Xenopus tropicalis: one gene and its partner. The protein of the gene in region 1 purifies or fractionates together with the protein of each later gene. This does not show direct contact. Links are inferred from orthologs where the notes say so. Each region holds a gene or a part of one and is shown in the gene's direction. Other genes may lie near its edges.

The links.
Region 2: the proteins of cecr2 (region 1) and smarca5 purify together in Homo sapiens (affinity purification with mass spectrometry; 3 studies listed by BioGRID and IntAct, with this or other methods). This does not show direct contact. The link is inferred for Xenopus tropicalis from reciprocal best matches to the Homo sapiens genes CECR2 and SMARCA5.

The regions. Positions count from the first base shown.
Region 1 is NC_030679.2:8,772,501-8,781,228, reverse strand, and holds the start of cecr2 (cat eye syndrome critical region protein 2), read left to right. Parts: upstream 1-3,109; 5' UTR 3,110-3,248; coding exon 3,249-3,362; intron 3,363-8,728. UniProt on the Homo sapiens protein: Regulatory subunit of the ATP-dependent CERF-1 and CERF-5 ISWI chromatin remodeling complexes, which form ordered nucleosome arrays on chromatin and facilitate access to DNA during DNA-templated processes such as DNA replication, transcription, and repair.
Region 2 is NC_030677.2:59,233,487-59,241,657, reverse strand, and holds part of smarca5 (SWI/SNF-related matrix-associated actin-dependent regulator of chromatin subfamily A member 5), read left to right. Parts: 5' UTR 1-103; coding exon 104-253; intron 254-3,953; coding exon 3,954-4,043; intron 4,044-4,867; coding exon 4,868-5,034; intron 5,035-5,833; coding exon 5,834-5,934; intron 5,935-6,299; coding exon 6,300-6,400; intron 6,401-6,773; coding exon 6,774-6,953; intron 6,954-7,640; coding exon 7,641-7,796; intron 7,797-8,171. UniProt on the Homo sapiens protein: ATPase that possesses intrinsic ATP-dependent nucleosome-remodeling activity.

The DNA.
Region 1 (8,728 bases):
AGTGAGTGAGTGTATATGAGTGTATATGAGTGAGTGAGTGTATATGAGTGAGTGAGTGTATATGAGTGAGTGTATATGAGTGAGTGAGTGAATGTATATGAGTGAGTGAGTGTATATGAGTGAGTGAGTGTATGAGTGAGTGAGTGAGTGTATATGAGTGAGTGTATGAGTGAGTGAGTGTATATGAGTGAGTGAGTGTATATGAGTGAGTGTATATGAGTGAGTGAGTGAGTGAGTGTATATGAGTGAGTGAGTGTATATGAGTGAGTGAGTGTATATGAGTGAGTGAGGGAGTGAGTGTATATGAGTGAGTGAGTGTATATGAGTGAGTGTATATGAGTGAGTGAGTGTATATGAGTGAGTGAGTGTATATGAGTGAGTGAGTGTATATGAGTGAGTGAGTGAGTGTATATGAGTGAGTGAGTGTATATGAGTGAGTGAGTGTATATGAGTGAGTGAGTGTATATGAGTGAGTGAGTGTATATGAGTGAGTGAGTGTATATGAGTGAGTGAGTGAGTGAGTGTATATGAGTGAGTGAGTGTATATGAGTGAGTGAGTGTATATGAGTGAGTGAGTGAGTGTATATGAGTGAGTGAGTAAGTAGTGTGTATATGAGTGAGTGAGTAAGTAGTGTGTATATGAGTGAGTATGAGTGAGTGAGTGAGTGTATGAGTGAGTGAGTGAGTAAGTAGTGTGTATATGAGTGAGTGAGTGTATATGAGTGAGTGAGTGTATATGAGTGAGTGAGTGTATATGAGTGAGTGAGTGTATGAGTGAGTGAGTGAGTGTATATGACTGAGTGAGTGAGTGTATATGAGTGAGTGAGTGAGTGTATATGAGTGAGTGAGTGAATATGAGTGAGTGAGTGTATATGAGTGAGTGAGTGTATATGAGTGAGTGAGTGAGTGTATATGAGTGAGTGAGTGTATATGAGTGAGTGAGTATGAGTGAGTAAGTAAGTAGTGTGTATATGAGTGAGTGAGTGTATATGAGTGAGTGAGTGTATATGAGTGAGTGAGTGTATATGAGTGAGTGTATATGAGTGAGTGAGTGAGTATGAGTGAGTGAGTGAGTGTATATGAGTGAGTGAGTGTATATGAGTGAGTGAGTGAGTGTATATGAGTGAGTGAGTGAGAGTGAGTGAGTAAGTAGTGTGTATATGAGTGAGTGAGTGTATATGAGTGAGTGAGTGAATATGAGTGAGTGAGTGTATATGAGTGAGTATGAGTGAGTGAGTGAGTGAGTAGTGTGTATATGAGTGAGTGAGTGTATATGAGTGAGTGAGTGAGTGTATATGAGTGAGTGAGTGTATATGAGTGAGTGAGTGTATATGAGTGAGGGAGTGAGTGAGTGAGTATGAGTGAGTGAGTAAGTAGTGTGTATATGAGTGAGTGAGTAAGTAGTGTGTATATGAGTGAGTGAGTGAGTAAGTAGTGTGTATATGAGTGAGTGAGTGAGGGAGTGAGTGTATATGAGTGAGTGAGTGTATATGAGTGAATGAGTGTATATGAGTGAGTGAGTGTATATGAGTGAGTGAGGGAGTGAGTGTATATGAGTGAGTGAGTGTATATGAGTGAGGGAGTGAGTGTATATGAGTGAGTGAGTGTATATGAGTGAGTGTATATGAGTGAGTGTATATGAGTGAGTGAGTGTATATGAGTGAGTGAGTGTATATGAGTGAGTGAGTGTATATGAGTGAGTGAGTGTATATGAGTGAATGAGTGTATATGAGTGAGTGAGTGTATATGAGTGAGTGAGGGAGTGAGTGTATATGAGTGAGTGAGTGTATATGAGTGAGTGTATATGAGTGAGGGAGTGAGTGTATATGAGTGAGTGAGTGTATATGAGTGAGTGTATATGAGTGAGTGTATATGAGTGAGTGTATATGAGTGAGTGTATATGAGTGAGTGAGTGTATATGAGTGAGTGTATATGAGTGAGTGAGTGTATATGAGTGAGTGAGTGAGTAAGTAGTGTGTATATGAGTGAGTGAGTGTATATGAGTGAGTGAGTGTATGAGTGAGTGAGTGTATATGAGTGAGTGAGTGTATATGAGTGAGTGAGTGTATATGAGTGAGTGAGTGTATATGAGTGAGTGAGTGTATATGAGTGAGTGAGTGAGTGAGTAAGTAGTGTGTATATGAGTGAGTGAGTGTATATGAGTGAGTGAGTGAGTGTATATGAGTGAGTGAGTGTATGAGTGAGTGAGTGTATATGAGTGAGTGAGTGAGTGTATATGAGTGAGTGAGTGAGTGTATATGAGTGAGTGAGTGAGTGTATATGAGTGAGTGAGTGTATATGAGTGAGTGAGTGAGTATGAGTGAGTGAGTGAGTAAGTAGTGTGTATATGAGTGAGTGAGTGTATATGAGTGAGTGAGTGAGTGTATATGAGTGAGTGTATATGAGTGAGTGAGTGTATATGAGTGAGTGAGTGAGTATGAGTGAGTGAGTGAGTGAGTAAGTAGTGTGTATATGAGTGAGTGAGTGAGTGGATATGAGTGAGGGAGTGAGTGTATATGAGTGAGGGAGTGAGTGAGTGAGTATGAGTGAGTGAGTAAGTAGTGTGTATATGAGTGAGTGAGTGAGTATGAGTGAGTGAGTGAGTAAGTAGTGTGTATATGAGTGAGTGAGTGTATATGAGTGAGTGAGTGAGTGTATATGAGTGAGTGAGTGAGTGTATATGAGTGAGTGAGTGTATATGAGTGAGTGAGTGAGTATGAGTGAGTGAGTGAGTAAGTAGTGTGTATATGAGTGAGTGAGTGAGTGGATATGAGTGAGGGAGTGAGTGTATATGAGTGAGGGAGTGAGTGAGTGAGTATGAGTGAGTGAGTGAGTGAGTAAGTAGTGTGTATATGAGTGAGTGAGTGAGTATGAGTGAGTGAGTGTATATGAGTGAGGGAGTGAGTGAGTATGAGTGAGTGAGTGAGTGTATATGAGTGAGGGAGTGAGTGAGTGAGTATGAGTGAGTGAGTGAGTAAGTAGTGTGTATATGAGTGAGTGAGTATGAGTGAGTGAGTGAGTGTATATGAGTGAGGGAGTGAGTGAGTGAGTGTATATGAGTGAGGGAGGGAGTGAGTGAGTGAGTGTATATGAGTGAGTAGTGTGCCCGGAGTGGGTTCCGAGTCCCTCCCCCAGTCTCCTCCCTCCCCAGCCCCCTCCCCCGCTCCATCTGCTCCCAGCCCGGCCGGGGATCACATTGTACCGGAGCTCCCCACACGCTGTAGCCGGGCTCGGGGTGCTGCCTCGGGATGCCCCCGGTCGGTGCCCTGGGGGAGCTCCGCTCTTGTTGGCGGGTCCCCGCCATCGCGCATTTCTGCTCCCTCTTCCGCACCGCCTTCCAGCTGCCGGACTTCGAGATAGAGGTGAGGGGCCGGGGGGCCCGGGGGCCTGGGGGCGGGAGCGGAGGCTACACCTGGGCCGGGGGCGGCGTTACGAGTTTGGGGCGATGGCGCTTTGAGTTTGGGGCTAAACTTGGGAGATAAGGGGGGGGGGTACCTGCTACTACTGAGCGGCAACTTTCCCTGGGACTGAGAGACTGCAGCCTGGGTATGGGGCACCCCTGTCTGATGGTATATCCCCAACACCCCCTGTCTGATGGTATATCCCCAGCACCCCCTGTCTGATGGTATATCCCCAGCACCCCTTGAGTAGCCTGAGGGCCGGGGCAATAGCTGCGTTATTCCAATAATTCGATTTCCCAATATTATTCTCTCAGTAATGTGCCCTCCCTACCTATTTGCTCATATATCTAAACTTCTTGGACCCCCAGAAGTCCTATTCTACCTTATTTGCCCTGCATATCCCCCCCCATAGTTCATTTAGATTTCTCTAACCCCCCCCCCCCCATAAGATAGTACGGTCTTATTTAGCTTTTAGCAGCATAACAGGGGTTAAATGTAGCCAGTGGGTTTGAGTGTAACTCATTGCTCATTGATGTGAAGGGTAAGTGCTTGCAGCAAGCCAGCTGTTGTTGCACTACAATTCCCAAGAGGATGCTGGGATTGGTAGTTCTACAACCCACACAGGGGCGTCTCTGCACTGACTACCAGTTTAATGGGAGACTTTATAGCCCTGTGGCACTGGAATATGGGAAACACAATGGGGCCAAACCCATTCGTTCTGCTGGTGTCTTGGGCGCCCAAGTGCTTGGATAGACTTATTTTTCTGGGAATTAAATAGAAATGGTTAAACTTTTCCTTGAGTACTTTGCCCGAGTTCTCTCCGTGCCGCAGGATTAGGGGGATATGCGATTAGTCAGTGAGAATTGCCATTAAATGCCCATAGGATTAACCCCGTATCCGTGTACCTGGGGCACGGCGACCGCTCTGTCTTTATTTCAATAGGGATATAAACCCAGAAATATATATTAAGCATTTTCCCAATACCCATCCATTCATTCTTCATTCTCACTGGGTTTATAGTTATGTGTAATTGTCACTGTGTCTGTCCCTTTCCCTTCCCTGCACTGCTGGTTCTGACTCCTGATACAACTCCCCAATATCCATTCATTCCTCATTCTCACTGGGTTTATAGTTATGTGTAACTGTCACTGTGTCTGTCCCTTTCCCTTCCCTGCACTGCTGGTTCTGACTCCTGATACAACTCCCCAATATCCATTCATTCCTCATTCTCACTGGGTTTATAGTTATGTGTAACTGTCACTGTACCTGTCCCTTTCCCTTCTCTGCACTGCTGGTTCTGACTCCTGATACAACTCCCCAATATCCATTCATCCCGCATTCTCACTGGGTTTATAGTTATGTGTAACTGTCACTGTACCTGTCCCTTTCCCTTCTCTGCACTGCTGGTTCTGACTCCTGATACAACTCCCCAATATCCATTCATCCCGCATTCTCACTGGGTTTATAGTTATGTGTAACTGTCACTGTGTCTGTCCCTCCCTTTCCCTTCCTTGCACTGCTGGTTCTGACTCCTGATACAACTCCCCAATATCCATTCATTCCTCATTCTCACTGGGTTTATAGTTATGTGTAACTGTCACTGTGTCTGTCCCTTTCCCTTCCCTGCACTGCTGGTTCTGACTCCTGATACAACTCCCCAATATCCATTCATTCCTCATTCTCACTGGGTTTATAGTTATGTGTAACTGTCACTGTGTCTGTCCCTTTCCCTTCCCTGCACTGCTGGTTCTGACTCCTGATACAACTTCCCCAATACCCATTCATTCCTCATTCTCCCTGGGTTTATATGTGTTACTCTCATTGCTGTCTGTCCACTGGTTCTGACTCTTGAAGCCATGTAGCAGAAATCTATTCTCCTTGTTTGTTAATCAGCTGCTTCTCCCGTATTGGGTTTACTTCCCCTTTACCGGAGGGTTACAGTAATCACTAGGCACCTCGTTGGTCTCTTGTACCTGAGCGCCAGGGTGCTGGATGATGTAACACCATGTAATTTGTTTTTTTTTTTTTTTTTTTTGTCCGCTGAACCTGTAACATCTGGAGTCGGATCCACGTTCAATGCAACAGAGAGAAAAGAAAAACTTAAATATAGGTCTTCCGAACCATAAATAGGATTGGTGGACAAAATAGAAAGAGTAAAGGGGACATTTCTAGAGGCACCCAAATTTTACCAGTGACAGGTTTATGGCATATGGGGTGCTTGTCTGGCGCTGCCACCCTGTTGGGGTGCTCCAGATACCAGAAAGGAGGTCCTTGTCCCATAGCGTTTAAACCTAAGTGGGTCGGCGACTTACAGACGGGTGTTCTAGATATAAGGTCTAGATAGATAGATATATAGTCCAGATAGATATAAAGTCCAGATATAAACTACTCTTTGGTTGCCAAAATCTGGTTGCTAAGGTCACTGACTTTAGCAACCAGCTTACATGTCAAGCTTTACTTTGTAGGGAAGCAGAATAGAGAGAGAAATCATTAAGCTTTGGGCACAGCCATCTGCGGCATATTTAAATGTTTTTTGTGAAGGTTTACGTGTGATTTCAAAGATAAAGTCCCCCCCCCACCCCTTTGTTGTGTATTGTGGTCCAGCCGGGTCAGGTTGCAGCTTCCTGGTGATGAAGGGGTTTAGCAGAGCTCAGTTTCTCTGCCTATTGGGATGCAATGTGCTGGATGTAATAGAAAAGTTTTGTTCTGTGGGGCAGAGCTGTGATGGGGGGGGGGTCGGGGGTGAGGAGTAAAAGGGGTTGTGGGGCGGGTGGGGGGGAGCTAAGGGGGGAAACCCCTCTGTTTGTTTTGTTCTGTGGCTTGCAGAGGCAGCATGGCATCTCGGGATGGGACAATGTGACCGTGGGGGGGGGGGGGGGGGGGGGGTGGGAGAGGAGGTGGGCTTGCCTTAACCGTTCCTTGGCCTGGAGTCACGTAAGCCATGGCTCTGTGCTGTGCTTGCATGGTCTCTGGCCAGGGGGAGGCTTCTGAGAGCAGCCGGTGTCCCACCAACTACAGCTCCCAGCAGCCCCCATTAATTCCAAGACTTGTAAGTCAGCCATGTTTGGGCAGATACAGGCTGCCCAGCCCTGATTATATAAATCAGTCAGCACAATGGTCAGGGGCTTTTGTAGTCTATATGCCAGCACATCAGTAGCCAGGTACTTAACCCTTCCCATGCTTGCCTTTATATGGTATGATATCTAATATCCTTATCATTTACAGTAGGGGGTACATTATCCCTTATAATACATGAGTGATACTCAGAGTTCCCTGTATAACTCAGCCTGCAGCCTTGTGCCTTTATATGGGCACAGAACCCCTCAGTGACTGCTAATATCCTTATCATTTACAGTAGGGGGTACATTATCCCTTATAATACATGAGTGATACTCAGAGTTCCCTGTATAACTCAGCCTGCAGCCTTGTGCCTTTATATGGGGGGCACAGAACCCCTCAGTGACTGCTAATATCCTTATCATTTACAGTAGGGGGTACATTATCCCTTATAATACATGAGTGATACTCAGGGTTCCCTGTATAACTCAGCCTGCAGCCTTGTGCCTTTATATGGGCACAGAACCCCTCAGTGACTGCTAATATCCTTATCATTTACAGTAGGGGGTACATTATCCCTTATAATACATGAGTGATACTCAGAGTTCCCTGTATAACTCAGCCTGCAGCCTTGTGCCTTTTATATGGGCACAGAACCCCTCAGTGGCTGCTAATATCCTTATCATTTACAGTAGGGGGGTACATTGCTGTATATTAGCTATATGCCTATGCCGCCGGGTGTTGTTTTGCAAGAAATGAAGGAGAAGGAAAGAAAAGGGACAAATATTGATTTGGAATTTCCATTCCGCCATCGGGAGAGCTGCTATTTATTCTTTGGGCGGTGTGATTTCGGGTCAAGAGCAGCAGGGGAAAGAAAATCAAAGTGGTTGCATGTGATTGGCTGGATATTGTACAATTTCCCCACACACACGTATTGCCAGGGTGAGAGTTCAGCCTTATTTGTTGTGCTTTGTACTTTTACCCCCCCCCCCCCCCCACTAAGGGGGCCCCTCTGCTGCTGGGGCCCAGCTCTGTTTTTGCTGGGGGGCTATGAATGCCCCTGCACTGCTGGCTCTGGATAGGAGTTGAAGCACATGGCTTTTTTGTTATGATAAAAATGGGGAGGATATTTCCCTCCCCGCTGTGGCTCTACCCATTTACACCGAGGCCCCGCCCCCAGCCCCCCCTCTCCTGGGTGATGTCACTGCATGGGAGGGGGCTCGGGCAGGGGTGTTTGTTTTCCTTGCTCTGCAGAGATGCTTTTATTTAAAAGGGAAATAACACAAAATCCATTTCCCAGTTTCTTTCCTTTTATGAAGTTTTCTTGCGCTACAATGTAGCAGCTGCTTGTCTGTGTGTCCACTAGAGAGTCACTGTGATACATTGTAAGCGCTTTGCCCTGCCGGCTGTGGGTGACCTCTGCACATTGGCCACTCCTTGTCACCTCTGCAGGGGGCAGTTTGTATTCAGCCAATCACATTAAGCAGAAAGTAGACCCTAAACCCTCCTGCTACCCCACTATCTTCCAGCTACATCACACTGGGCTTATTGTGTGCCCAGAGCATTCCTTCTCTGTATATTTGTATTTATACATATGGGTAGGAGGTGCCATAGTGTTTCCCTTAGACAGTACAGTATGGGGGTACAGCTTATTGTGTGCCCAGAACATTCCTTCTCTGTATATTTGTATTTATACATATGGGTAGGGGGTGCCATAGTGTTTCCCTTAGACAGTACAGTATGGGGGTACAGCTTATTGTGTGCCCAGAACATTCCTTCTCTGTATATTTGTAATTATACATATGGGTAGGGGGTGCCATAGTGATTCCCTTAGACAGTACAGTATGGGGGTATAGCTTATTGTGTGCCCAGAACATTCCTTCTCTGTATATTTGTAATTATACATATGGGTAGGGGGTGCCATAGTGTTTCCCTTAGACAGTACAGTATGGGGGTACAGCTTATTGTGTGCCCAGAACATTCCTTCTCTGTATATTTGTATTTATACATATGGGTAGGAGGTGCCATAGTGTTTCCCTTAGACAGTACAGTATGGGGGTACAGCTTATTGTGTGCCCAGAACATTCCCTCTCTGTATATTTGTATTTATACATATGGGTAGGAGGTGCCATAGTGTTTCCCTTAGACAGTACAGTATGGGGGTACAGCTTATTGTGTGCCCAGAACATTCCTTCTCTGTATATATGTATTTATACATATGGGTAGGAGGTGCCATAGTGTTTCCCTTAGACAGTACAGTATGGGGGTAC
Region 2 (8,171 bases), on another chromosome or scaffold:
CGCATCCATTCAAGGATCGCGCTTTACTCCGGGTTTCTCATTAAACCCCCTGCCTCGTTGTGTGAGCCCCGCGTTGGACGGACGGTGTTAGTAGATCCTGATCATGTCCGCGGAAGGCACCGAGCAGCAGCCGGCTCCGGACACCGTAGCGAAAGAGGAAAAAGGAGAAGCAAAGGAGGCTATGGAAGTAGATACGGGCGATCAGGCGAAACAAGAGCCGGGCGGAGACGCAGTTAAAGAGGAAGCGATGGAGGTAAGAGGAGCCGGCCCAGGCAGCACGCACTTTATGGCTCCTACCAAGGAACTCAAACTTCTTCTTTATCTTGAACGTCATTATTTTAACCATCTCCTGGCCGCTGAGAGTTGTAGTTTTTCAGCAGCTAGATATGTCTTATCTGCTCATTCACTTGCGTATGTGAGAACCTGTAGAGTTAAAGCGGACCTCTCTGTCCCATTGAAATGTCCAGCCGTGAGTGCGCATGTGCGCGGTAGCCGGGCTTCTGCCTCACGGTACCTCTCATTTCCTATATATATATATATATATATATATTATAAGTATTGGCTAGGTGTGGTGCTTCGCACTCTCTTAGCATTGGGCTTCTCATTGTTCCAAAAGTCATTCTAAAGCCCCAGCGGCTCCTCCCAGTACGGGGCGTGGCTACTGTTAGTGCTGGTCGCTCTCCAGGCCTCCAACTCTTTGTTAGCTGACATGCTATACTACATTTCCATCATCCTGCTGCCAGCCTTTCTATCGGCTCACGGAACATGTACAAGGAGTAGTGCCGATATCTGTGGCCTCTTACGTAATTTTTCTAATGGAGATTCTTATGTGTTCCTAGTTCACTTACTGCTGATCATTTATCAGCAATCTGCATCTGGACAGTAACCCATAGCAACCAATCAGAGATGAGCTTTTTTTCATCCTTCTTCAGTTAGAACAATAATAGCAAACTTTGATCGATTGTCATGGGTTAATGCAAGGGTGCAAGTTTTAACCAACTTTATCAAATAAACTCTACTCACTTTTCTCATTTAAGTTATTAACTGTATGCAAGATCTTTTCTGCCCTTGATCTAAATTAGTTATCTTTGTGTTCCTGTTTTTCAGCCTTTTGGCTTTATTTTTATTCGCCTGACTTATTATAAATAGTTGATGGAATACTGTATTTCTAAGCAATCAGTTCTCCCTGTTCAATGAACAGCTGTTTGTAGTCAGTCCCTGTTTATTGGGCCTGTGGGGACTGTTTGGCTTTCTTTGCACCTGATAAACCAGGGTTTATTTCATTTCCCAGTCCAGTCATTTAATAGTTCTTGCCAGTGTTCTCCCCAGAAAAAAAATAAATGTGATATAGCTGAGGTTAAGGGGGCTTAACCCATTTATTATCCAAATGGGTAAAAGTCCAGCCCATCTGTTCCACTTCCTCCGTTCCCAGGCCATGCAGCACTTTGCACTGTAGGATTGAAGCCAATCAGCAATTAGGCTGACCTGATAGGGAACTGAAGCCTATCTGTGCAGAGGTGTGTGTGCTATCCTACTGTGCTTCTGGCAGGGAAAGTTAGAACATGCCCACACTGCATTTGAAACACAGGCAGGGACCCGAGAGAATCTATAGGAAGCTCTGATAAAGGGTTCATTTTTACAGATAGTGGTATTAAAGACCAAAGTGAAACCAGCACCATATAGTATTCATAATTGCCTACAAGATTAGAGATTTTTTCATTTATCCTATGTCTCCTTTAACGTCTATTAGCCCCTTTATTAGGGGGCAAATCTAAATACATAAGTACCAGAATATATACATAATAGACATTTAAGGACTTATGAATAGACGTTTAAAATTTATGCACTATAACCAGTCCGTAATCCCATGATTTTCAACAGTGGAAAGTCACAAATTCAGTTACATTACCAGTTTTTACATATCTCTTAAATTTAGACTAAAGGCCCCCTTACACGGGCCGATAGAAGCTGCCGATATCGGTCCCTTGGACCGGCTCGGCAGCTTATCTGCCCGTGTAGGGGCAGAAACGAGCGGGCTGGCCGACCGATATCTGGCCTGAAATTGGCCAGATATCGATCGGCCAGGTTAAAAGATTCAGTCGGATCGGAGGCCGCATCAGCTCGTTGATGCGGTCCCCGAACCGACTGCCCCATTGCTGCCTACATAATCCGGTCGTTTGGCCCCAGGGCCAAACAATCGGATTATTTTTTTTTTTAACTTCAAGCTAGCTCAAGTGTATCGCTAGTAGGGAAGAAATTGCCAGCCAGGTAAAAATAGGCCTTGGTGGGGATAAAAATTAAATGTTCCTGCCCCTAAAAGAAAAACTTTAACAGAAGCTAAGAGGACTGTGTGCTTCTTCAAATGCATCGCACTGTCCTTCCAACTTCTGTAACAGAAATTTCATCTACATAAGAGGTGGGGAAAACTTTGGCTGTTTGCCTTGTGTAAGGAAATAAAAAGGGCAGATTTGTTATTTGTTCCCTGAAATCGCGGAAGTTTCCTCTCAAGACAACTTCCGCTATTTCAGGGAAATCGCGGCGCCACGTATGCCATCCCACCGGTAATTTGCATTTTCGCCAGTGGGATGGCATTTCGGGGAGATTAGTTGCCCGTGAACAGGGAGATTTGTTGCGGGCGACTAATCTCCCCGTGTGCCAGAGCCCTTAAGATGACCACACACGTGGCGATTTTTGATCTTTCTGTTGCACGAAAGATCGTTCCAACCCACCCTGACATTCAGGGCTGAATCATCAGATATGGAAAAGTAGAAACAATAGGATTTCTACCTCCTTCTGTCAATTCAGCCGTGAAGGCAGATTTTACTCAGGCGCCTTCAATGGCGCCCGATCAAAATCTTTTAACCCGCCCGATCGGCGAGTCGATATCGGCAGCCTTCTGCGATATTGGTCGCCTCGCTGAGTTGCCATACACGCACTGAATTCAATTTTTTTTTAAAAACGCTTTCCTTTTTTTCTGTAGTAATAAACTTATTAATCCTTATTGGAGATAAAACAATCCTACAGGACTTATTTAATATTTAAATGATTTTTAAATTGATTTTAAGTATGGATATCTAAATTACACAAAACACCACGTCCTGAGCATTCTGAATAACTGGTGTCATACCTGTATGTGCCACTTGTGAGTACTAAGGGGCCATGCTGTGCCTTTGGCTCATATGATTAGCAATAGCAGTATTGGGGAGCTCAACCCTCTGTTAACTTACCCAAACGGGTATCAGGTGCAAATACTGGAAGAACCTCACCTTGCATGGGGGTCAATATCCAACAGCAAAAAAATCCAGTAGCACACTGTGTGTGCTACTGGATTTTTTTGCCTTTGGCTCATATGATTGACTGGGCACACAAACCAAGGGCACACATACATGTGAGGTCACATCAGCCAGTTAATGGACAGTTCTGTATTTTATGCCCACAGTTCTTCCTGTTACAGTTAAGGCTGCATTATTTCCTGTCAGGAGCACACAGATCATCACAAAATAGTGGCACTGCATACAGTGTCACAAGCTGCCTATTCCCAGACTTCTCAGCAAATGACCCCAGCTCTGCAAAAAGGGGCTACAAACTTTCTTTTCACTTAAATTCATGACAGTGTGACAGTGGTCTGTAAGCATGGCACATCAAGCAGCGAATGAAGAGTCTGCAATTTAAATTCTTTGCAGGGCATCATGTTCATATGTGGTACTTATTAAATGTGCAATATAAAGTTATTTACAGCCTAAAAAAGCTTAGTAGCACTTGTGCTTAGACTATGTAATTTGTTCTAATCCTGTGTACATACAAGGTGGGTCCATTGGGTGGCACTACAGGGACAAGGCCCCAGTTCTTTATTTGCTTAAAATTAGTAAAACAAAATAAAAGCCTAGTTAGAAAATATTCAAGCATTGCAGCATTAAGTCATTGATACCTAGTAATTATTCATTTTTCTTCAGGATTATGAGCTTGATAATGAAGATGATGACGATTCTCTTAATAAATCGAAAGAAGGCAATGAGATGGATCCAGCTTATGAAGAAAAGAGGGTACATTTTATATTTTTCAAATTTTGGTTATATAGCAGATTTTGCATGGGAAAGTTGTGAAATTGAAACATTATTTTTTTTTCCCAAAGAATAGAAACAGGAGCTCTAGTTTAATAGCAGGTGTCACTACAATTCCCTACACAGCAATTTCTGTAAATAATGAGCAGTGCTCACACTGGTAATAACCTCTTGTTAGTGCTCCTATACCCCAAGTCCAGATTCTTTCCTTTTTTATTGCCACTTCAAAATAGGCAATCAAGGCCAATGCAGGGTTTAATGCAGGGTTTGTCTAACTAAAGCTTTTTTTTAAAAAAAAAAAAAAAAGGGGTGCGTGAGCCTAAACAATTCAAAGACCTCTGCATTAGGATAATAGCACAGGGTTTTCAGGAACCATATTGTGCTTCAAATTTTCAGCACTCAAAAACATCATATGTAGCTTATTGTCTGTGAGAACTGCATGGAAAAGCCTAACATGCCTGATTTTTACTTTATTTTCCCTAAAAATTCAAACAAGCATGTTTTAGTTGAAAATCTTGTGAAAATTGCTTCCATTAGCATTTTCATGCAATGCTTACAGAAAATAGTGAGATCTGGTTTGGTGCATTTTGATGTTGTGCTTTTAGCACCCAGAGGTGGTAGACAAAGAACTCCAAAATCTTTTACATGTTATATAGCCCAATTTTTTTAGAATTTCCATCTTAGTCTTTTCTGTAGAAACTTTGCTTCCCACCCGTCATGTTTAATTAATTAGAATGCTACAGTAAGTAAATTATCAGGTATGTATGTTTAATTTGGCTGCATATATATCATTTTTTTCCCCTCAGAAAACTGACCGCTCAAACAGATTTGAGTACCTTTTGAAACAGACAGAAGTGTTTGCACATTTCATTCAACCAGCTGCACAAAAGACCCCAACCTCGCCTTTAAAAATGAAACCAGGACGTCCTCGCCTAAAGAAAGACGAGAAACAAGATTTGCTGTCTATGGGAGAGTAAGTGGCCAAGGCTGTCCCATTGTGTTACTCTATGCATATTAGAAAAATAAACTCTTAGCAGTAAAAATGTTTTGTTTGTCCAGTTCCTTCTCTCCTTGTATTTTAGCTGTCCTCCATCTGTTTTTCCTGCTAACTATATATTACATCCATTCCGTTTTTCCTTAAATTCTCATTTTCAATACATCAAGAGAACTTTAATGGGATTAGGGAATTTTTTTGCAGAACTACAACAGCAAGGATTATACCAGCGCTGCTCAGAGAATTCTAGTTTTGCTGCTGTTGACATTTCAATAGGTGCTACTCTAGTATAAGGTGTTTTTATAACTGTAACTATTTAGTTAATGCACAGTAGATTTTTAAAATATTCTGGCATTATTTAAAAAAAAAAAAAAAAAAAAATGTATACTTGGACCTCTTCTCATGATTTCAGCGAAATAGTGACTATGCACGATTATATTATTTCTGACACTGGCTGTTAAGACACCTGCACATGATTGCTTAGTTGCAAGCCTGCTGCTCACAATTTGCAGCCTGCGTTGGGAACCTTTAACCTGAAGGTGGCAGTAATTTATCAGTAACCTCAGTCTTTCCATGCGTCAGTAGGTGAAGTTGCTTGCAATTGACCAAAACAGACTGGGAAGATGCAAATATTTACATGAGCGAGGAGCCTGAATGCATCCATTTGTTCCCGTGTTTGTAAATGAGCCTTATACTGTTCTTGTGTTGCTTCTTGACCCTAACATACGAGTCAGCCTTATTTTGCTGAGAACTAACAAAAGTAATGGCTTTTTCTTAGTTATCGCCATCGCCGGACAGAACAGGAGGAGGATGAGGAACTTTTAACTGAAAGTTCCAAAACCACAAATGTTTGCACCAGATTTGAAGACTCCCCATCATGTAAGTATGTTTTGGCTGGATTCAACTTACTGTTGGGCATACTGCAGATTTTAGTTATTGAGAGTTAAAGATCTTGGAATATTTAATTTTAGATATAGTGCAAAAGTATGAATGAAAACTGCATAGACTGAAGGCAAAGTGTGTGTCTCTTGTCCCTATTGGTTACTTGATTTTCATATACTGCTGTGTTGGTATGGCTTGTGTATATTTGGATGCATATTTGAGTAATTTGTTGCTGGTTCTGTGACTCAGATCTTTTTATAGAAAGATATATAGTTTGTTTTTGTTTTGTTTTTAAGAAAATCTAATGAAAACCAAAGCTATGTGCTTGAAAAATGACATTATTGTACTTGTCTTATTCACAGATGTAAAAGGTGGTACACTAAGAGATTACCAAGTCAGAGGATTAAATTGGTTAATATCGCTGTACGAGAATGGCATAAATGGAATTTTGGCTGATGAAATGGTAAATTTCTTTTTTTATTCTGCATTTTTATTGAACTTCAGGTCCTTTCCATACTGAAATTGCTCTAGTTTGCATTTCAAAATGTGAGAGGTGACACTTTGTTTTTTAAACTGTATGGTAGGCAGCAGTTTCAGACACTAGAGTGCCCTGCTGAATAGGCCTAAATTCCACAGGTGTCAAACTTAGTTGTATAACCAAAGAAACAAAATAAGTTTTTCTACTAAACACAAACTAAAGTTTTTCTTGATTTTCAAAATACTTTATTCAGGAATAGAAGTGAGTTACCTTTCAATACATAGTTAGTTTTTTAAGTAATATTTACATCTACAGTTTGTTTAAAACATTGATATACGGTTTCCTTTCTCTCTTACAGGGTCTAGGAAAGACTTTACAGACAATCAGTCTTTTGGGGTATATGAAGCACTACAGAAGTATCCCTGGGCCTCACATGGTCTTGGTTCCAAAGTCAACCTTGCACAACTGGATGGCAGAGTTCAAAAGATGGGTTCCTTCACTTTGTGCTATTTGTCTTATTGGTGACAAAGATCATAGAGTAAGTAGCTTTCACTTTGTTGTGATTTTTTGAGCACGTGATGCAAAATCCCTTTGTATGAAAGGATTAATGATAAATTGAGGGGGTTCATTAATGAGAAAATTAAGGATAAGGTTAATAGCCTTATCATTATCAGATAGGATAATATTTCAAATTTGTCTTTGGGATTGTACATATCATGGTGACAACAGTACTTTGCATATCTATTTAGAACCATAAAAGCACACTTGAACCCAGAAAGGCTTGACTTAGTCATTATGGCTTTCTTTTCCAGATTTGCTTTTGGGTCATTGTGGACTTTTAAAAACCCAGCTTCAATAAAGCTGGGTGACAACTATTTCAAGATTTTTATATGTGGCCCTAATTGCTCAATAAAATGTTTATTTTAGGTGCAACACAATGTACAAGATAGATTTTTCAAGCCATCGATAAATGAAGCATTGCAGTACTGGTTAAACACATCGCTGTTTGGTGTCCCTGTACTAAAACTATATCTAAAATATCCGACTGCTGTAAAGTTTGCCTTGGCTGAAAGTCTGTTCAGTGTATCCATTATTATTGACACTACTGATTAGCTTCCAACTTCCAATATAGAATTATTCTCTTCAGATTGTACTGTGGATGCATGCATTATAGGTTGTGCCATTTATTAAGATTTTTTTTCTCCCCAATTGCATTTGTTCTTAGGCTGCATTTGTCCGTGATGTACTCCTACCAGGAGAGTGGGATGTGTGTGTAACATCTTATGAAATGTTAATCAAGGAAAAGTCTGTTTTTAAAAAGTTTAACTGGAGATACCTAGTTATTGATGAAGCTCACAGGATCAAAAATGAGAAATCTAAGGTAGGTGTTAATTTTTTTTTTTTTTTTTTTTTTTTTTAACACCAAAAGAAGCTGGAGTTTAATTATGCTAAGAAATATTAAGACGCATTAAGAAGCAGCAGCAGTGGCCTTGCACTCACCTTGCCATGCAAATTGTATACTACAATAAACTCTCCCACAAAAAAAAACAGGTGTCCTTCACACTTGGGACAAAATCACAGTTCCACTGGCCAGCTATAGGATGGTTTTGCATACACTTCAGTTATTTCTAACTCAACTCTATTGCTTTGTGTTTTCTGTATTGACCATCTCACCCCAGCAATTGATGACTGGCCTGCAGTCTGATAAGTGATATTTGCATGGTTCTGTGAGCAGATTATGTAGTGTCTAGTGGCC